Linked DNA regions of Rattus norvegicus. The protein of the gene in region 4 purifies or fractionates together with the protein of the main gene of each other region. This does not show direct contact. Links are inferred from orthologs where the notes say so. Each region holds a gene or a part of one and is shown on either strand. Other genes may lie near its edges.

Evidence for each region.
Region 1: the proteins of Polr2b (region 4) and Ints6 purify together in Homo sapiens (affinity purification with mass spectrometry; 3 studies listed by BioGRID and IntAct, with this or other methods). This does not show direct contact. The link is inferred for Rattus norvegicus from reciprocal best matches to the Homo sapiens genes POLR2B and INTS6.
Region 2: the proteins of Polr2b (region 4) and Dnaaf10 purify together in Homo sapiens (affinity purification with mass spectrometry; 3 studies listed by BioGRID and IntAct, with this or other methods). This does not show direct contact. The link is inferred for Rattus norvegicus from reciprocal best matches to the Homo sapiens genes POLR2B and DNAAF10.
Region 3: the proteins of Polr2b (region 4) and Ctdp1 purify together in Homo sapiens (affinity purification with mass spectrometry; 3 studies listed by BioGRID and IntAct, with this or other methods). This does not show direct contact. The link is inferred for Rattus norvegicus from reciprocal best matches to the Homo sapiens genes POLR2B and CTDP1.
Region 5: the proteins of Polr2b (region 4) and Med26 purify together in Homo sapiens (affinity purification with mass spectrometry; 3 studies listed by BioGRID and IntAct, with this or other methods). This does not show direct contact. The link is inferred for Rattus norvegicus from reciprocal best matches to the Homo sapiens genes POLR2B and MED26.

What each region holds. Positions count from the first base shown.
Region 1 is NC_086033.1:41,175,305-41,179,597, reverse strand, and holds the start of Ints6 (integrator complex subunit 6), read left to right. Parts: upstream 1-1,483; 5' UTR 1,484-1,708; coding exon 1,709-1,819; intron 1,820-2,135; coding exon 2,136-2,213; intron 2,214-3,027; coding exon 3,028-3,177; intron 3,178-4,293. UniProt on the Homo sapiens protein: Component of the integrator complex, a multiprotein complex that terminates RNA polymerase II (Pol II) transcription in the promoter-proximal region of genes.
Region 2 is NC_086032.1:95,819,016-95,823,081, reverse strand, and holds the start of Dnaaf10 (dynein axonemal assembly factor 10), read right to left. Parts: upstream 2,811-4,066; 5' UTR 2,769-2,810; coding exon 2,586-2,768; intron 2,052-2,585; exon of another isoform or gene 1,511-2,051; coding exon of another isoform or gene 1,400-1,510; intron 1-1,399. Other genes in the region: RNA-binding protein PNO1, read left to right, coding at 3,216-3,419, 3,541-3,690. UniProt on the Homo sapiens protein: Key assembly factor specifically required for the stability of axonemal dynein heavy chains in cytoplasm.
Region 3 is NC_086036.1:76,187,399-76,191,708, forward strand, and holds the start of Ctdp1 (RNA polymerase II subunit A C-terminal domain phosphatase), read right to left. Parts: upstream 2,811-4,310; coding exon 2,497-2,810; intron 1-2,496. UniProt on the Homo sapiens protein: Processively dephosphorylates 'Ser-2' and 'Ser-5' of the heptad repeats YSPTSPS in the C-terminal domain of the largest RNA polymerase II subunit. This promotes the activity of RNA polymerase II.
Region 4 is NC_086032.1:31,165,217-31,168,726, forward strand, and holds part of Polr2b (DNA-directed RNA polymerase II subunit RPB2), read right to left. Parts: intron 1,955-3,510; coding exon 1,800-1,954; intron 794-1,799; coding exon 595-793; intron 63-594; coding exon 1-62. UniProt on the Homo sapiens protein: Catalytic core component of RNA polymerase II (Pol II), a DNA-dependent RNA polymerase which synthesizes mRNA precursors and many functional non-coding RNAs using the four ribonucleoside triphosphates as substrates.
Region 5 is NC_086034.1:17,332,571-17,336,579, reverse strand, and holds the start of Med26 (mediator of RNA polymerase II transcription subunit 26), read right to left. Parts: upstream 2,811-4,009; 5' UTR 2,543-2,810; coding exon 2,471-2,542; intron 2,447-2,470; exon of another isoform or gene 1-2,446. UniProt on the Homo sapiens protein: Component of the Mediator complex, a coactivator involved in the regulated transcription of nearly all RNA polymerase II-dependent genes.

The DNA of each region.
Region 1 (4,293 bases), on a different chromosome or scaffold from region 4:
AAAATATTCGGAGGCTTTTTTGTTTTTGAAATATTAGGAAAAGCCCAAACAACAAAGCCTGATTTTTAAAACGTGCCACAAGCATGTCACTTCAGATGCCTAGCAGGACAGAATTTCAGCGTAGAGAAAATCCGGAAATGCAGAGCCAACGGGAGAGGCCCTTCAAATACCTAGTCTTAAAAAGGTCTCAATGTTCCAAATTCAATTCATATTTTAGGCAGCGGGTCTTGCAGTTCCCCAACTTCATATGAGAACAAATCTCCAGACTTGCAGGTGCAGATTGAAGACTTTAGGTAACGTGACGGGCTGAGAATGTTTTCCGACACAATACTGGCAAAGACTGAGAGGCGGGTTTCCCAGGAACCTATCCATTCTCTGGGTCACCTGCGAAACGTGGTCATCCCTTTTCACTTTTAAAACGAGGGCAGTGGATTGGGGTTTGGAAAGCCCCTTTTATTTCTTAATATAGTCTAGTTAGTGCCTTAACAATTTGAAGACGGAACTAGGTTGGAGAGGACAGTTGCTTTACTAGTCTACATTTGAGTTCCGCTTCGTGTTTGCAGGGCTGGCTTCCTCTTCGGTGGATCCTCTGACCAGCTAGAGCCGGAGCCGAATGACTGGCCGGGATTAATACCAGGTCATAAACAACCTCTCACTTCCCCTCCCCCTGGGCCGCCCCAAGGCCCGGCCTGCTGCCGCCGCGTGGGCCTGCGCGGTCCCGTATCCTTCGTCAGTTCACCCTTCTCGGCCCTGCACTCTTAATCACGACACAGAGCCCTCACCCACAGGTTGGGGGCGGCTTCCACTTCCCTTCTCCCGACCCTGTCACGGTGCACAGCCAAAAGGCCGGACGCCCTGACACACACGCCTACAGCCCGCTGCCGCCCTACGCGCGCTGACGCAGTCCCCGGCCCAACCCGCGGTGCTTCCGCGGCCTGTCCCCGCCCCTTCCCGGAGCCCGCCTCCCGGCTGCGGGCCTCGGGCCGTCCGCCTCCCCTTGCGCTGGTTCCAGCGTGCACCCGCTGCCCCGCCTCTGCGCGTGCTCAATAACTGTCCTCTCAGTCGGCCTGCAGGCTTCCCCCGCCCCTGAGCTGTTTGAATATGCTAATGAGGCTGTAAGGACCAGCCAATAGGGCAGAGGGTCTCTGGATCACATGACTCGAGTACGTGTCAGGGGCGGAGCCTACGTAGCCCCTGCCCGAGTTAAAACCGGAGTGTGAGAGAGAAAAGCGCTTCAGTAGCGAGAGGGGCTGAGAAAGTGGTGACACCGCTGGGGTGCGGAGGGAGTCTCTCAAACTTCTCTCAACAGCCCCAGGGCCAATCTCCCCTCAGCCCACTCCCCTGTTCGCCAGATCCCTGGTCCCCACTCCCTGCACTGGGGGTGGGGTGGGGAACTGGGCCCGTCTCCCGCGGGGACACACACAGGGGCCGGGAGTGGGGACGGGACCCCCAGGCCGGGGGGGACGGACGGACAGACGGCCGCGCGGCCGCCCCAGCGGGCAGGCAGGCCGGAGGCGGGGGTACGGCCGGGTGGACCTGGGCTGGGGAGTTTCCTCTCAACTATCGGGGGAGAAACTCCCCATAGCCGGTGTTTTCCTCCCGGGGGCCGCGTTCCCCGCCCCGCATATCGGCGGTTGCCGCCGCCGCTGGTGCCTCCACCTCTGCCATCTCTTCACCACCTCGGGCCCCGGTGTCCCCGGCCAGCACTATGCCCATCTTACTGTTCCTGATAGACACGTCTGCCTCTATGAACCAGCGCAGCCATCTGGGCACCACCTACCTGGACACGGCCAAAGGCGCGGTAGAGACCTTCATGAAGGTACCGACTGACCGAGCCCGGGTGGCGACCCCGACCCGGTGGCCCGCGGGGGGCAGGGCGGGGGGCAGCGGGTTTACTGCGGGCTCCGCGGGCGCGGGGACCCCTCCCCCACCGCGCTGGCGGGCGGGCGGGCGGGCGGGCGCTGGGAGCGGGCTCTGCTGGGCCTGGCCCATGTGGGGCTGCTGTGGGTGCGGGGGGCGGCGGAGGGACGGCCCTGCGTGTGCGGTACTGTGGGGGCGGCCAGCGACCCTTCTGTGACTGGTAACCTCGCCTCTGTGCTTCCCTCTCTCCCGCCTGTCCCCACCCTGGCCCGCAGCTCCGTGCCCGGGACCCTGCCAGCAGAGGAGACAGGTATATGCTGGTCACTTTCGAAGAGCCGCCCTATGCTATCAAGGTAACAGCCCTCGCCCTCCCCCCTCCCTTCCCTGCTCCTTCCTAGCTCGCCCTCCCCGCCCCCTCTTCATTATGCTCCCCTCCCCCACCGCCGCTCCCGCCTCCAGGTCCCTTCCCCGCGGCCTCCCGCCCCTCCCCAGCTCGGGAGCGCCAGCGCGGTGGCAGTTTCTGGCCCACCGCCGTCCCCTCCGGGTCCAGCTCGGCCTGGCGGCGGAGGCGCTACGATCAACATGGCCGACATTTCCCCTCCGCGGCGTGAGCGGCAGCAATGAACTGTGGGGGATATTTATTCAAGTTAGCCCGAGTGACAGCGGGGCCCAGCCTTGCCTTGCCCGGTTTTGCATTAAAAGGGAATCAGCCAAGCTGGCAGGGAAGCCAGGAAGGGGGCTTCGAGACTTGGTCATCACTGAGTGGAACTAGGAAGGCCACAGATCGGTGGGACAGCTGTGGTCAACTTAAGAAGTCCTGCTGCCATCTGCCTTCCACTAGCACCTTCGAAACACCCACCCCTTACACACAATTTGGAGGATGTTATATTAGCAAATTTCCCAGTTGAAGTTATTAAAGTATTAAGACGGTTGTTACTTAACAAAAGGTGTAGGGGCGAGCAGATTGATTCTTGGCCACCTTTGGAAGAGTTTCCTCACCAGAGACAACAGTTATAACACATTCCCCAAACTGTATCAAGCAAAAATGAAGTTAAATATACAAACCCAAAATGGAATACCTGCTTAGTGGACATCACATTATAATCGGTGTCCATGTGTGTACATGGCTTCAACTGATAAAAAAAAATCTTACATCTTTCTTTTCAGGCTGGATGGAAAGAAAACCATGCAACGTTTATGAATGAACTGAAAAACCTTCAGGCAGAAGGACTTACGACTCTTGGCCAATCCCTAAGGACAGCTTTTGATTTGTTAAATTTAAATAGATTAGTAACTGGCATAGACAACTATGGGCAGGTAGGTTGAATACTAAGGTAGAAAAGAGTTGTTTTTATTTATGTGTACAAAACCACAAACCAGTCCAAAAGTATGTAACCTGGAATGCAAGTATAAAACATTCGAGGTTGAAAAACAGTGCACACAGTTCAAAACACCTAAGGTGTATGGTCTTACATCCCCAGTCCCCCTTTAAATGTATCTGCATTCAGAATTCAAACCTGAATTCTTGGCTAGAAAGTTGACACAAATTTGGTTTCAGTCCCTCAAAGTTCATAAAAGACACACAACGGAAGATGTCCTGTCTCAGTGTGCTGGTCTGAAATTTCTTGTAGGCACATATGTAACTATTGAATAGGTCACAGCCAGTATTGCCTCTGTATTATAGAGATGTTGGGCAAAATGATTGTTAGCCGAGGGTTTAGTTTAGCCTAGACGGTGTACTCAGAAAGGCAAGGTTTTACCATAGAGTGCAGTAACTGGTTGACTACATTCATTATGAAGCTGAAAATAAATGGCAGATTCTTAATTTCTAAAGTTTAAAATTCCAAGACTGTGGGAAGATGTTTCCTGGAGAACCTGAAAGCCTGCCTGTTTTCCTGAAGCTCCCCATAAGTCCTTTTTTTCATCTGTTGAGGATAGGGCAAGAGCTTCAAGTCACAACAGTCATTCACCACAATGTCGATAACTTTTATGATATTGCTGTCCTAGAAATACAAGATAACCAAAGAATATGCAGTGGTGTACACAAGGAGTAATATCACACCCAAGGATTTCAGTATGCAAAGCACTATTACCATAATGCTATATTTAGGAATATATGTTATACACTTTTCCCAAGTTCCATAATGCACAGTTCTCATGAATTTTGAACATGTTAAGGAAAATTTCCAGTGACTTCAAGCTATATGCCTCAATTGGGAATAATTCTTAAACATCTTTAAAAACTAGTTGAATTTAGTCCTTATAGCATTTAAAGTATGCATTACAAATCAGGCTTATCTGAAAATCATTTCCATCATTTAGGTAACTATAGTAACACATTTTTTTGTTGCTTTATTTTATAATTCTTGCCACTTGTTGGTCAGTTTCTGTAAAAGCATTTTTTTCCTTTGTTATATGTAGTGCTGTTGTCTT
Region 2 (4,066 bases), about 65 Mb from region 4:
AGTCTTGATGCAATTCATCATAACAAAATGAGTATGCCTCCTAAAATTTAGGTAAGTAATCTACCTGGTCCAAAAGTTCTCAACTCTGGCACTCACCAAAATCAACTAGCAGAAGGTCGCATTTCTAATAAGCAAGGCATGGGTATTTTAAATCTTGTACACAGCCATGATTAGCAACCAAACACAGAAATAAACTTTGATGCAGTGAGAACCACTGACTGTATTTAACCTGCACGCTTTTCTGCTGCAGCGCAAACGAATACAACATTAAGTTCTGAAAGTTGCTTTGTTTCTAACGTGTTCCTTAGAAATGTTCTTTTTTAGCCCAGTACCTCTAATGGCAGCCTCAGTAATTACTAGTGGAGTGAAAAGGAAGCAAAACATCAAAGTCGTCATTCTTGTGGTTCAGGTTAGGTATGACAATTTCTTATCCCTAGTTATATTTCCTAAACGTTCTCTCATAAACACATATTACTTTCACTAAAAATGAATAAATAAATAAGACTTTGCTAGCATTCTTCAGAAATTAGAAGAGATAAACACTATTTCACTTCGAATAACTTATTACTAAACTATATAAAAAAAATTGTAATTCTTGGGAAAGCAAAACACAAGCCTGTAAATGCTTTCTGGCTGAGGGCTGACTGGCCCTCACTTTAAGGCTTCTCTTATGCCAATGCTTCCTTGTTCAGAGTCCTTACCAGAAACACTGATTGGCAATCCCTACACCAGTATTTAAAACTGGGTCTCAGGTTCATTCAGTCTTCATTCTTTGAATGAATGTGTACTGAGAGACTGGTCTTTACAAAGCACAGGAGAAGGCACTGCTTTCTGGCTTATGCGGCAGACTGTTTATTTCTGCCACAGACAGTCAGTATTATAGGAGTGGAATGTACTGAAAGGTTCCTTGAGCAGAGATCAGATAATCCGAACTGGCCCCTGGACTGGCAAGAGTTGACTGCGCGTTAAGCAGTGAGGAACACAAGGCAAGGCGGGAAGCATCAAACCATGTTTAGAATCTCCAAGTCCAATGCCTGGCTATAGAGTTGGAACTAAACCAGAAAACAGGCTCTCAGCAAAGCTCAGGGAAGGAACACATAGCTTGCCATGCAAGTTTATTTATCTCCTACTTGCCCTAGTTTCTTATCAACTCTCAGCACCTCAACAACAAACTGTTATCTGTTTCAGTCAACCCAAATAGAAACATTCTGAAAACCTTAAGGAACTATAAAATTGTTCCTTAGCCACAACTCAGCACTGTGGCTCCAGGCCTGAATCCCAGCCCCCTGAGAAGCTGGTTTAACAGTTTGAGGCCAACTGGATAACAGAAAACACCCATCTCGGAAAGAAAGGAAAGAAAGAGTTTTAAAGCGTGAACAGTGTGGGCTGAAGACACAACCTGGTGATTAAGAGCAGAATGGCCCGCAAGGTAACTCACAACCACCGGAACTCCATTCCAGCGCATCCAATACCTTCTTACGGCCTCCTGGGACACCAGGTGCACTTGCATATGGTACACACAGATACATGCAGGGAAAAAAAAAAACAAAAAACATGTACAGGAAAGGGAAGGAGAAAGGAGGGGAGGAGAGGGGAAGGAAGGGGGAAAATGTCAATTACTGTCACCATTCTGTAATTGGCTACCTGGCAGCCTTTTACAAAACCTGTAATCTGGTCATTCATTATCCTCCTAAAAGTTCTTCAGTGGTGTCCTGCTTTTCTTAAAGAAAAAAAAAGGACAAATCTGTTAAATGTCTTACAGATCTTGCAATGGTCCCTACTTACCCCTTTTATATGTGTATGGTAATTTTTTTTTAACAGGGGTTGTGATCGCTGCAAACAGGGTCTCAAACTGAAATTCTCTTGCTTCTACCCCCGAACGCTGCGATTAAAGTTGTGCAATACCACTTCCAGCTTGGGTTTTTGTTTTTTAAAAGATAACGATCTTCCACCACTATCTCATGTTGTTTCTTCTGGAAACGTCATATTCTACTCTGCATTTGCCTTAGTTGCTTACTACTCATCCTAAATCTGTTTTTACTTTCACAGACCTGTGTATTAGAAAACTCATCTTGATTTACATTATGCATCCTTGGTCTGGCTGTTTGACTGTCTCCCCCAACAGAAAATAAATTCCGTAAGATCGTTGGCATTGCAATTCCCATGTCTGGGCCTTACCAGGCATTGAACTGACACTTTGTGAAAGAATGGGGTATTTACTAGTCTTCACCAACTTCGTGGTAGGTCTCCTGCTGGTGCCTCATTTGGTTCTGCTGGCATGGCACGTGGGTTTATTACATAGACCTACTAGTAGACTACAACAATTGCCAACAGCCTAAATGGTCCTCGAACGTTGCCAAGCAATGTCCACTTGGCTTCCCAGAAACCCTGCAATCGACTGCACCGAGAATGGCGAGAGGCAGAGGCTGGCAGTGAGCCGAGGTACTAGCTCTGCAAGGAGATTTTGGGATGTTAAAGTTTTAACTCTGAAGTATTCCTCAATCTGTAATCTCCTTTCTGTTTCTGCTGTGGCAAAGAGAGATGCAGACCCACGCAAACCCAAACAGATCCAAGCCTGCACCCACCTCCCGCAGCAGCTTTAGGTCCCCGCGCTGGATCTCGTACACCTGGATAACGCCGGTGCCCCGGGCGAAGTTGCCCATCGTCACGAATTTGGCACTGCAGGGCACCCATTTGCAGTCGAACACTGTATAGTTGAGGCCCTTTTGAATATGGACAATGATCTGAGGCTTCTCGAAGGTGGACATGGTGCAGAAGCAGCCAAACGCTAACCTGGTAACCAAACTGCAAACATCTCAGGGGCAGTTTGTCCCTCCCTAGCCGCACTCAACCCGGACGCCTTAGCAAGCTGGGCTTGGCTGCCTCCGAAAATGCCGGGTGAGCTGCTGAGACCGCACCAGATACTTCTCCACACACGGCACAAGCTGATTTACCGCCTTTACCACAACGTTTTCACATAGACACATTAGAGAATGTGAATGCTTTGGCTGCGAGCGCGAGACGGCACGGAGACATTAGCAAACAGGCATATTCTAGGGCAGCCATTCCGAACCGCGGACCAATCCTGCCCTAGGCCCCCCGCATGGACCCCGCCTCGGAAAAGGGGCGGAGCCTTCAAATTGATTGGTGGAGGCTGGCGCATGCGCGGCACAACCTCGCACGTGTTCCAGTGGTTGCACTTATCCGGGTTGAACATGGCCGAGATGGAGACGCAAAACACCGGGACGGAGGACGGCTTTACTCCCGTCACGCACAGAGGGGGCCGCCGGGCGAAGAAGCGACAGGCTGAGCAATCGTCAGCGGCGGGACAGGATGGAGACGCTGGACGCATGGACACGGAGGAGGCGCGGCCGGCGAAGAGGCCGGTCTTCCCGCCGCTCTCGGGAGATCAGCTCCTGGTGGGGATCCGGATGGGACGGGGCGGGGCCCAGGCAGACGAAAGGGTCTATTCTCGGTTTTCACCTTTCCAGCCCGCATCTCTCCACTCGCCTTCTGAGTGTGTGTTTGTTTTTATTGCAGACTGGGAAAGAAGAAACGAGAAAAATTCCCGTCCCAGCTAACAGATACACACCATTAAAAGAAAACTGGATGAAGATATTTACCCCGATTGTTGAACATTTAGGACTTCAGATACGCTTTAACCTGAAATCAAGGAATGTAGAAATAAGGGTAAGGAAAAGGGCTTATCCTTTTTAACCTACCGAATTTTCCCCTTCAAAACTAAAATAAATGAGTGCATTTTTTTCCTTCGTAGAGTTATTCTGTTAAGCGTCCCCCAACCCCCGTTTTACTATAGTGAATTTCAAATTAACTAAATACCCTCAAAACTACATTCAAAACAGGTGTTGACTGCATTCCTAAATCGCTTGTAAGATCACTCCTGAATATTGTGTATCCTTTTGAGTGTCTTCTCTGTGTTGACTTGATAAAAGTAGAGAATGGTCCACGGATGTACATCAGTAAGGGGTTAACTGCAGGTACCTACTTCAGTGTAAGTGCTCTTTTTGGAGCAAACGTGTGTCACAGGGAAAATGTAAATTAAGTC
Region 3 (4,310 bases), on a different chromosome or scaffold from region 4:
CTCCTCAAAACAGTTCTGAATCCACCAATCATAAGTCTATATAAAGTGCATGTTGTGGGTGGAGGTTAAGAACCACCATACAATAATCACTCTACAAAGGTTTAATGCAAATGTCAGTAAATGTTGGCTCTCCCATGTGATGTTAAGAATATGAATCTGCAATCCAGCACTGACAGAAGTGGTGCTGCTAGACGAACAGAACTTAGATCATGAGCAAACTTCCAGGACTGCTCAGATGAGTTCATTATAAAGTAGTCTTGAGTGTGATTCTGAGACATGCTCAGAAAGAAGCAAACTTCTAGGGCTATCAGGCTTGGTTGCTCCTTCCTGACACCCTCCCTTCCTGCCCCCACCTGGGGTGAAGAAGTTCTGTGATGGAACAGATGCTGGATGAGGCTGCACCAAAGCCAGACACAGAAATCTAAAAACGGAAGGCTTTGGCTCAGCGTACGCGGTGTGTATGAGCCAGACGGGTCTTTGCTGACCAAGGTCTACCAGTCATGGCAAGTCCAATTCAACACCAGGATCCAATGGTATCTACTACTCTCTGTTTTCTCAAATAGAGACATACGGATGCCTTTTAGAAAGACTTCCTAATATTCAAATCCCTCATTCGAAATGCTGGAGACCAGAAGTGCTGCTGTTTCAGGACTATTTGGAGTGTGGCGTGTTTGCACAGGACTCACATGCCAAGCACTAGAAAACACAAGAGCATCTATGCCCTAGTTTTAGACCTTGGAATATTTTAGATTTTGAATGTAAGATCAAGGACACTTGGCCTGTATAGCGAAGTTGTGGGGGAAAGGCCTACTTAGGTGTAACTGTGTGCTACAGAAAGCCTGTAGGGACCATGGATGATGAACTCTGTTGACCGACCGCTGCCTGCCCTGCACAGATCTGCTCAGTGGGATGCTGCTCTTCAGGCTGTGCCTTGTGAAGACAATTCTGTGCATGGTGATCTTTGTACAAAGTGACTCAATCCAGTGATTTCTTTTTAAACTTTGTTCCGCAAAAGTATGACAGGCATTTTGGGGGAGGCCTAATTGGTGTCCGGAAGAGCCAGTGGCTGGGGAAGAAAGTACTACCCTTCTTATGAGCCCTGGGTCCACGCCCAGACACCTATGAACGCCCTTGACATTTATTACAGAGAAACTATCAGGACTGACACAGGGAATACAAATGGAGCTAAGTCCAGGCCTTGGAACTTGCTTCTTCCTGTCACCCACGTACCTTCAGGTATACAGGAACAGTACAGGAAGCACACATGTCAACTCACTACACTCCTCCCCAGAATGCTGACAAGATGCTGTCCACAAATGCACATAACAGGAAAAGGGAGGGAAGCATTTTAAATAAAGTGATGCTGCTAGTGACTGTCCCAGAAGCAGGAACTCACTTGACACCACTGGACTGGTAGCCACTGTGAGTCACCCAGGATCCCAAGAATCACTTCCAGAGGAAGCCAGACAGACAGGTCCCTCAGAGTCAGTCCCAAAGAAGCAAGTTTTCCTGGTGGTTGTGCAATCCAGCAAACCAGTGGGCAGGGGTACGGATAGGGTCCACAAACCAAGAACCCAGGCAGTATCTCCAAGAAGCACTAGGGGGAGTTGACCAGGAAGACAGCCAGGCGGGGTTCTCGGTCTATGACAAGATCAGTGGAAAATAGAAATTTTCCTTGTGGAGAATGCTAGACAGGAAATACTCAATAAAGAAGAGACTTGACCAGTCCAAGAAGTGAGCAGTGGGCATCAGAAAAGGAGCAGAAAGAATAGTCTTCAAAGAGAAGTTCTCAGCCCAACCCACAGTAGGCAGGAGCATTCACTTCTCCCAGTAGTTTTTGTTCTTAGCAATCAAAACAATCACAGCCACGTGACCCACATGCCCACGTGTTAATTTAGGTTCAAAACACAACCCTGGCAAAACTCGAACATAAAACTGGACAGTGGCAGATCGAACCGAACCAAACCAAGATCCTACAGAGACAGGACACAAGTTTGACAACTAAAGAGTCCTCACAGGACTTCGAGGACCAAGTACATCACCCGATACAGTCTGGGTTCTGCCCTCTCGGTGGCTATGTTGCAGAACCACCGGGTTTTTACAACGGCGTTTCACAAAGTTTTATAAGCGTTTGTAGAAACACACACGCCCGACAGCTTCTATTTCTGTAACGAGCCTGGAACCTGCCTGAGTAGTCCCGCGGCCACAGCCACCCAAGTTGCCTTCACTTTACAAAGGTGGAGTCCACCAATTACAGAAGAGGGACGAAGGCAAAAGATATCCCAAAGGGAGTAGTAACCTTGGGTCACCGAGAAGTTTTCAAACTCAAAATATCTCAGGGCTGGCAAAATCACTAATGGTGACAATTCTTTCTATGGTCTCACCCCGCAGCCCCTTAGCGTAGCTTTCACGCCCAGTCTGTGACTGTAGCCAGAAATCCACCCCACACCCCCGACATCCTGAGAGCCCGGGTGTCCCTTTTCTCAGTACACTCACCCAGGGGCCACCACCTGGCCTGGCTGCGCACACAGTTCACGGACCACGCCGGCGCGCTCCGACCTGAGCCTGCGCTCTGTCCGCGAGGCGCGCACGCAGCCCCCAGAGGCCGCGCGAGCCGGGGCTGGCCCTGCGGGCTGCGCGGAGACTGCGGCTTCGTACACTGCCAGCACCGAGCCAATGCGCACGGTCGCGCCCGCCGTCACCTTCCACTCCAGCAGACGCAGCGGCGCGGGGCCCGGGCAGCGCACCTCTGCCCCGGCCACCGCCGGAGTGCACTCGGTGGGAACGCCGGCCAAGGGCGGCGCTTCCATCGTGACCCAGCGAGCGGCACGGACGGTCACAACAGAGGTGAGAAACGAAAACACCGGGCGCTCAGGGCGCGGCGCCCACCGCGGGCGGCGGCGACACTGCTGTTCCCGCTCCGACACCGGCTTCACCCGCCGCTCGCTGCGCACCCACTTCCGGGGGGCGTGCTGCGTCATGGAGGGCGGGACAGGCGACGTGCATCCGCGTGACTGCGTGCGCTCAAGATAAGGATAAACACTCGGCCCTCGCGGAGCCAAGAGGCGCTGGTCCACACCTACGGGGCGCCAGTCCGTGGTATGGAGACTACAGCCATGTCACGCGGACCGCTGTCACAAGACTTTTGTCACACACTGCTAGTCCTGACGCATCAAGACTACCAGTTCCGGCATACAGTGCGTGTCTATGGCAACTCCCGTCGTACACTGCGAGTTCCAACCACAGGAGTCTTCTGACGCCGGCATTCGGCGCGGACCGCTGTATTGGATAGTACATTGTAGTCCTGACGTCAAGAGAGACTACCAGTCCCAGCATGCATCACGAAACTCGGTCCCACCTTTCCCGTCGTGCACTGCGAGGTTTTCATGGAGAAACTATAGGTCTCCCTCCGCAGAGCGGTCCGTACGCCTGGAGACTTTGGGTCCGGGTCTTGCTCATCCTCCCGTCAAGCACTGCGAATGCTGGACTTAACGAGACCGAGTTCCAGCGCAGGTCGCGGCCTAGACTCGATCCTTCTTTAGCCGGCTACGCAGCAGAGAAGTGTGCGCAGTGGCTGCTTGCAACTGCGGCGCTTTTCAGAGTGGAGTTTCTAGCATTAGACTGTGGATTAAGGATGTCCACCTCGCCTGCTCGCTCCTCCTGGGGCTGCTGTGCACTAATTACTCATCAGATCCTGCTTGATGCACATATCAAGCCTACAAATGGGAGCCAAGAGACACTCTGACTGGGGATTTCGCAATTCCTGAAACCTTTAAAATAGCATTCTCATAAAACTTGAGTGGATGACCTGAGGTGTGAACATGTTTGTATCAAGATGCGTATACTCGTGACTGCGTCTTCTGCAAATCCAACAGGCCTTTGTTGTTACGGGTTGTTTCAATGAATTGCCTAAACTGTAGCCTATAGCGTCCAAGGTGCCTGGTTTTCTAGGGAGAGGGCTCAGGTGCCACGCCTGGGCTGGTGGTCCTGAGTTCTAAGATGGCCGACTGAGTTAGCCAGGAGAAACAAGACAGTAAACAAGACCCTCCGTGGCCTCTGCATCAGCTCCTGGCCCTGGTTCCTGTCCTGACTTCATTAAATGTGGATATATATGCCAAATAAACCCTTCCCTCCCCAATCTTTCTGTTTCACCAACTCTAACCCTATATATGCACACGTGTAGCAATAGTTACCTTAACTAAGACAGGCAGCCATGTGGAAGTGTAAGCAAAATAGACCCTTTCCCTCCCCAGTTGCGTTCAGGCTTAGTGTTTTATCCCTAACCATCCCAAAGACACCAAGTAAGGATT
Region 4 (3,510 bases):
TTGGTGATATAAACTCCCATAGCCTGCTTGCCCATAGCAGACTGGTACGTGTTTCTAGGGGACTAACGGGAGAAACAAAAAATAAAGACAATGAATTTCTCAGACAGGTAATAACCACTATGGCTTTCAACAAAAACAGGAGCAAGAAAACTGGTGGTGAATGGGAAATGCCCCCAAGTCGGCGATTTGAACCCTGGCTCCCAGGGAACAGTGCTGTTCCCAGAGGTTCAGGAAGTGTGGCCTTGCTAGTAGAAGCACATCACGGGGACCAGCTTTGAGTTTAGGGGCCATGCGCTATCCCCCACCCTGCTCTCTGCTTCATGCTTTGGGATAAGGATTACTGCTTACTATTCCCCTGCCTCTGCTCCTCCAGCATGGACTCTTATCTCCTCTGGAAGCAGAACCCAAAATAAACTTCTATCTTTAAGTTGCCTCTGGCCGTGGCATATTACCACAGGGACAGAAAAGTGACTAATACACAAGTCACACAGCGGAGTCTGTAGGTGCTCACACCCTGATGAGATGACATACTAATCCCTAGTACTGATTACTTCCCCGATTCTTTACAAATCACAAGACAGAACTACAACCAACCTGGTTATGATCAGGAAAAGGAATAATAGATGCACAGACGCCAAGAATCATTGATGGGTGAATCTCACAGTGGGTATAGGTGGAGCAATAAGCTACTTCTTTCTCCTGCAAATCATCTGGAGTCATTGCAAGCATCACGGTTTCTTCTTCCAGGGTATCAATATACTCTACTACCCCACTGGCTACCAGATCCTGCCAACTAAAAAGTTCACTCAGTGTCATGAAATAACTTAATACAAAGTCTACTGCTTTACAATTACTTCCATTTGTGTTTGTACTAACAAGGAAAGAATTCAGACATGACTGTTAATGTGAAAAGGCTGCCGGGCTATACACTATTAGGCTGCTATTCACCTTGTTTTAAACAGCTATACTTGTGGGCTCATAGTTACAAGAGCACTGGCTGCTCCTCCAGAGGTACTGAGTTCAATTCCCAGCATCCACATGGTGGCTCGGGGATAGGATCCGATACCCCCCTCTTCTGGTGTGTCTGAACACAGCTACAGTGTACTCACATACATGAAATAAATAATTCTTAAAAAAAAAAAACTATACTTGTGAAGTAAGGATGGAAAGTAGATAAAACAGAATAAGGTCTTGTAGAATACATATATCCACCCATTACTCATATTTACTTGTGAAAAGAACATTATGAAAAAATTATGACAAAACCAGCAAATATGAAGTGAGAATGCTCACTCTTTTACTACACGTTATTTTACAATATACTTATGATATTATTTAGAGTAAAATTTTAAAACAAGCTCATTTTTTCTAGCATATTTCTTATTTATGCCAGGAGTGGTAGCACACTATCTATATTCTTTGTACTCAGGAAGTTGAGGCAATAAGGATTTCACTGTGTGTTCCACATCAGCCTGGCCTATACGGCAAGAATGTTCCCCCCAAAATATATTAGTCCCATTATATGGACATGTTCCGCACCACACAGGTTATTTACCATTACATTTTAACACACCAAAGACTTTCACACCAATACAAATCACGCAAGTCCACTGTACAACTAATAACAAAAACCAGGAAGAATAAATATGGCCACAGATGGTAGCATTCCTCCCAGCACTGATACCGTAAACTGGGCAGTGACAGTGGCTGTACAACCTTGGGCTTACCCTGAAGACAAATGGCACACTTTCCATCACAGGTTTTGACTACACGTATTTTTCTCTCAGTCACCATCTTACCTGTAGTTGTTATATTCTCTCTCTTTCAACTGGTCAATGTGTCTCTTCTTCAAAAGAAGCTTTTGCTTTTCCACAATTAGAAGTGGTCTACAAATACGGCCTGCGTCTGTATAGATCCGAATCTCACGCTCGCGGATATCTCTGATCATAGAAACCTAGATAGAAAAGACAAAAAAAAAAAAAAAAAAAACCAATCTTACGATTTTCTTTTCTGGTATGATGATAATTCAGCTAAAAATACAAGTAGCTGGGCCTAGTAGGGTTCCCTATAATACCGTCATCCAGGAAGCTGACCAGAGAGGTCAGTTGATCCTAGGTTAACAGCAGCATAGGCAAATCAGTAAGACTGCGCTGGAGGTTGCCCAGCAGTTAGGACACTGACCACTACTGCAAAGGACTCAAGTTCAGGAACCCACATGGTGACTGACAACCATCTGTCACTCCAGGTCTAGAAGATGTGAAACCCCTTCTGGCCTCCACAGGCACCAGGCACACACATGGAGCACATACACACATTAAGGCAAACATTTACCATGTAAAATAAAAGGACACACACAGCTAAGCTGTGAAGGGCTCTAGCATGTGTGGGTCTCTAGGTTTGCTCTTCAACAGTGTACCCTTGCAAAAACAATTAATAATCTAAATAAAACTATTGCATTTAAGGTGACCCAAGCGTCAAATAAAATAGATACGCCAGGTACTGGTGGAGCATACCTTTAATCCCAGCACTCAGGAGGCAGAGGAAAGACAGATCTCTGAGTTCAAGACCAGCCTGAAGTACAGAGAGAGTTCTAGGACAGACAGGGAAACCCTGACACAGGGAGAAAACAAAAAAGCAAAAACAAAACCCTCAAAGCAAAAAGATAAATCTACCATAGTTAATCTATTATAAAAAGATGTAACTGTAAAACTCAGGAGTAGGAAAAAAATCTAACTTAATCTTAATTATTCCACTGAATAACATTAGAAGAGTATACAAGTCAAAGTGAAAATGAAGAAAACATTCTTCAGTACCACAAACACAAGTACATAAAATTTTCTTATTTTAGATTTGTATGTTTACTACTTCTTTTGGCTCTGTCCTTGTAGTACTGGAGAATGAACCCAGGGCCTGGCTTATGCTAGGCAAGTGCTCTACCACTGAGCTACAATCCCAATCCTTTAGTACAAACATTTCATCCTGGCTACCTTCCAGTAACCTCCCTAGTGGCTCTTCTTAAACAGGATCCCTCTATGTAGCTCTGTCTAGAACCTCTTTATGCAAAGCGGGCTGCCCTTAAACACACAGATCCATCATCCCGCCTCCAGAATACTGTGGTTTTTTTAAAAGACGTGTCGGGATACTGCTGTCTGGTCCATACTTTCCCATTTACTCCAAAGCCTGACTTTATCACCAAGCAGACAAATGGCTTAAAGTCCACCTAGAGCAGCTAGCTACCAGTCACAGGTGATTCCTGAGTACTTCAAATATGACCATTCTGAATTGAAATGAGCTACAAAAGTAAATTTCATGGATTCAAAAGATTCTAATAGGGGCTGGAGAGATGGCTTAGTGGTTAAGAGCACAGAATGCTCTTCCAGAGGTCCTGAGTTCAATTCCCAGCAACTATATGGTGGCTCACAACCATCTGTAATGGGATCTGATGCCCTCTTCTGGTGTGTCTGAAGACAGTGACAGTGTACTCACGTATATAAAATAAAATCTTTAAAC
Region 5 (4,009 bases), on a different chromosome or scaffold from region 4:
TCTTCAACTCTGTCCCCGTTTTGTATTTTTTCCATGAACATCCTAAATATGTGTCAATTACCAAGTGGTGGAGCTCATAACTGGGCAGATCAGAGCAAGAGCAGAGATCCCTGCACCAACATGCGGCTCTTACCTGGGCCCTGAACAATCACAGAGACAATGCAAATGGCCGGGCACCCCTCAGCAAGAAATGGAGGACAGTGCTCCAGGCTGATTCTACAAAGAGATTCTGCAAAGCTAGCCCCTAGAACATATACCTAGTTGTTTTTGTGGATAGTCACTGACACATTGCATCTAGGGAAACACTCCCCTCCTCACTCAGAGATAAGTTCTCAACTCCAGCCACAACAAGGTCTCCTATCACTACAGCCCTTTGAGATACACACTCCAAGCAACTTACTCACAGGCCAATGAGCACTTAGGACCAAGGGAAGATTCAAGAAACTAAAGTTGGAGGCCAAGCATGGTGGCACATACCTTTAATCCCAGCATTTGGGATTAAAGCAGGTAAAAGCAGACAGGTTCTGTGAGGACACCCTGGTTTACATACATAGTGACTTCCAGAGACAGTCTCAGAAAAAAGACACAAACTAAAATTTGGGCCCTCTATCTTCCTTCTTCTATCCCCAAAGGGTCTTTTAGTCAGACCCTTACCTAGCACTTGGACCCCACCTGATCTACAACATCATGACTACCTGTCAAAGCACTTGCTGATCCCAACACTCTCACATGCAAGCAGTCAGGATCTCTGAGAAGATCTCAGCAAGGAGTTACACAGGTGTAAGATTTACAATGTGGAAGAGAGGAGCAGTGATAGTGCAAGCATTTAATCCCAGCACTCAGAAGGAAAAGGCAGGAGAATCTCTGAGGCCAGCAGCATGGTCAAAGAGCAAGTTCTAGGATAGCCAGACCTACACAGAAGAGGAACCCTTCTCGAAAAACAACATCAAAAAGATTACACTATACACTATAGCTTCAGCAAAGATGCAAAAGCCATCAAGGCTATGTTTTCCTATCACTTATTTTTACCTTTTAATATCCTAATATATCAATCATGTGATTAGTCAGCTATTACCAATCACTGGCAAAAAACAAAACAAAACAAAAAACCCTTAAACCCGCCCCCCAAAAAAGAAAGGTTTTCTAGAAGATTTTTATCTAGCCTGTCTCTATTCCACCACAAAAAAAAAAAAAAAGTCTACAATATTTACTAAATTACTATCGACGTGATCCTAAAGACTAGGAAGAGAATAATTTTGAATCTGGCAAGTAGATTCTCATAGAAACTAGAACATCTCTATTTCTACCAAGACCACACAAACAATGTGAATTATTCTGAACACACAATACAGCACATTGCTACAAGTAACTAGCCAAGCATAGGCAAGGGAACCCAAAAAGGTTCAAACCTCTGTTACCTGGTCCAAGATGATTTTTTTTCTTCCATCCTGGGCATATTAAAAAGTGATCTCAAAAGCCACTTCCTGGTTTCCCAGCAAACACTTCATATCTGAATGCCTGTGCATCTTCCCATGGCCCTACTCCTGACAGCAACAAGGACACCCGCCCCCTGCACTGCCAACAAACCTTTGGAAAAAATACAAGAACAAGTAAAATTAGTCTACACTCACACAGGAAGAAAAAAGGCGTCCTACTGCTCACAGGACTCTTGACAGAGGAAAGTGTGATCCCTTACAATTAAATCTTGACAGCCTAGAGTCCAAAGCACCTCAGGTGGAGCAAGAGAGATGGAAAGAGGACCGGAAGATAGGGATAAGAGAACAATCTACTGTGATCGGCAGTATTTCAGTACTAAAATCCCAGGCTTTAGCTACTGGTCAGACGCGCAATGGAGCATTTAGGCCAAGAGAGGTGACAGGAAGGGTCCCACTCTCTGCAGAGTCGTCTTTTCTAGGAAGCGACCCACTATCAGAAGAGAGGATACTCTCCAGGCATCACAGGAAGACAGACTGATGGCAGAACAGGCCTAGGGTTCCCTACGAATCCAAGAAGGGGATTCGCTAGAAGACCGAGGGGGAGTAAAGGCCAAGACTCCAGAGACGCGGGCTACCCGAGTCATCGCGGAGACACCAGTTGCTTTCTACCTTGTCCCCCGGCAGGGAGACCTTTCCGGGGGGTTCTCAGTTCCCGGGGTTGGGGTGAGGCAAGAAGGGCACGGTGGGGAGCACCAAGGGCAGCCGGGCTGGGACAACCGAGGAGAACCAGCTCTCATCAAAGCTCCGAACGATCCCTCAGTCCAGGCCGCGTGAAGCCTCGGCCTCAGGTACCCTCAGCTGCCGGGGTACCCGCCTTGCCTTCGGCCTCCGGACCCAGGAGAACGAGACACCGAGATGGCAGCGGCCGTGGCGGGCAGATCACCGCCCGGAGAGAACCCCTGGCAGGGGCGCGTCGGAGGGGGAGGGTCCCGACACATGCGGCCTCGGTCCCCGATCGCGCGGCAGTCACTTACGTTGCTCTGGGAGTCGATGGCCTGTAGCAGCCGGTCCCTCATCTGCTGCGGAGACGCCGGAGCCGCTGTCATTGCCTGGGCGAAGCGGGGGGGAGCGGCCGGGCCGGCGGGCGGGCAGGCTGAGGAGGGGGGACGCAGGTCAGTCACTCGCCGGCCTCCGGGAACGGAGCCGCATGTTCCCCGCGGCGCCAGAGGAGGTCGAGGCGCTCGGGGAGATGGCGGAGGACGGAGGAAAGCGGAGGGGACCGGAGCTCAGGCCCCGGACCGCCGCCGCCACCGCCGAGCAAGGAGGAGGAGGAGCCGACGGAGAAGCCTCCGCCACTACCGCCGCCGCCGCCGCCTCGAGAACCAAACTCCAGTGAGCTGCCCCCGCGCTGAGCACTCTGGGTAACCCGCGCCGCACGCAGCGTCGGCGCCACGCTGAGGAGGTTGGGAGATGGGGGCGGGTGGAGACGCCGGGTTTGGGAGGGGCCGGCTTGTGAGCCCCGCCCATTGATTCTGCGCACGCGCACGCATGCGCACTTATCAGGTCCTGCCGCCGGGTTCTAAGGCCGGATCCAGAGAGCCGTTGGGAGACGGTTGGGCGTGGCAACGGACGCTATCCGAAGGTCACGCCCACTCCGGACTAGGGGGCGGGGCTTCCTAACGGAAGCTCACATGCCAAGTCCTGGAACACCGGCTCTTCCTGCTAACTGCTTTGGGGTTGCGGAATGGTAAGACCCTCCACCGGATGAGGACCTCTAGCTTTGAGGAATCAGAGGATTGGAGCGGCCATAGGGACACTAAGAAGGGCAGCGGTTGTCTGCGTTGAGACCCGTGCGGCGAGTAGCTCGGAGAATCTAGGCGCAGCCGTCGCCGCTGCAGAGGCCCCAGGCGCGGATCTGCAGGGCAGTGAGTGTCCCCATGTGACCCGCGCGCTGCTGGGACCTAAGGGCACGTATGGGAGCTGCCGCCTCCGCCGAGGGCTCGAGTCTGCAAGGCATGCGCGACGCTGACACCTTGGCTGTGCATCCACGAGGGGCTGGAACTCAAGAAGAAGCACCGCTCTTTTTTTTTTTTTTTTAATTCTTTTTTTCGGAGCTGGGGACCGAACCCAGGGCCTTGCGTTGAAGCACCGCTCTTGTAGCCCTCCTGAGAGGCGAACTGGAGGTGGCCAGTCTTTGTCTGCACAACAGGATGCGGAACCATCGCTCAGCATCGTCCCCTCCGCATTCGGAGCGGACGGAACGATCCCTGCTTTGCACCCCAGCCACTGGAAAACAGGAACGCCTCACCGAGGAGGAAGGGAAGCGCCAAGGTCACCGTGAGTTTTAGGTCAAACCAAGAAACGAAGGATATCAAGTATAAGGGCTGTGGTCTCCGGCAGGTGGAGTGGGAGGGCGGGCTCCGAGTTTAGCGCACTGTATTACAGTGGCTTCGGGAGAAATAACTTTCGTTTTGTGTCGTAACCTTAAAAATCCAGACATGAAACGGAAGGGAAACAGGTAATGAAAATCACATGTACTCCTGAGAGCTGCGGGACACCTGTTAATTTTAATT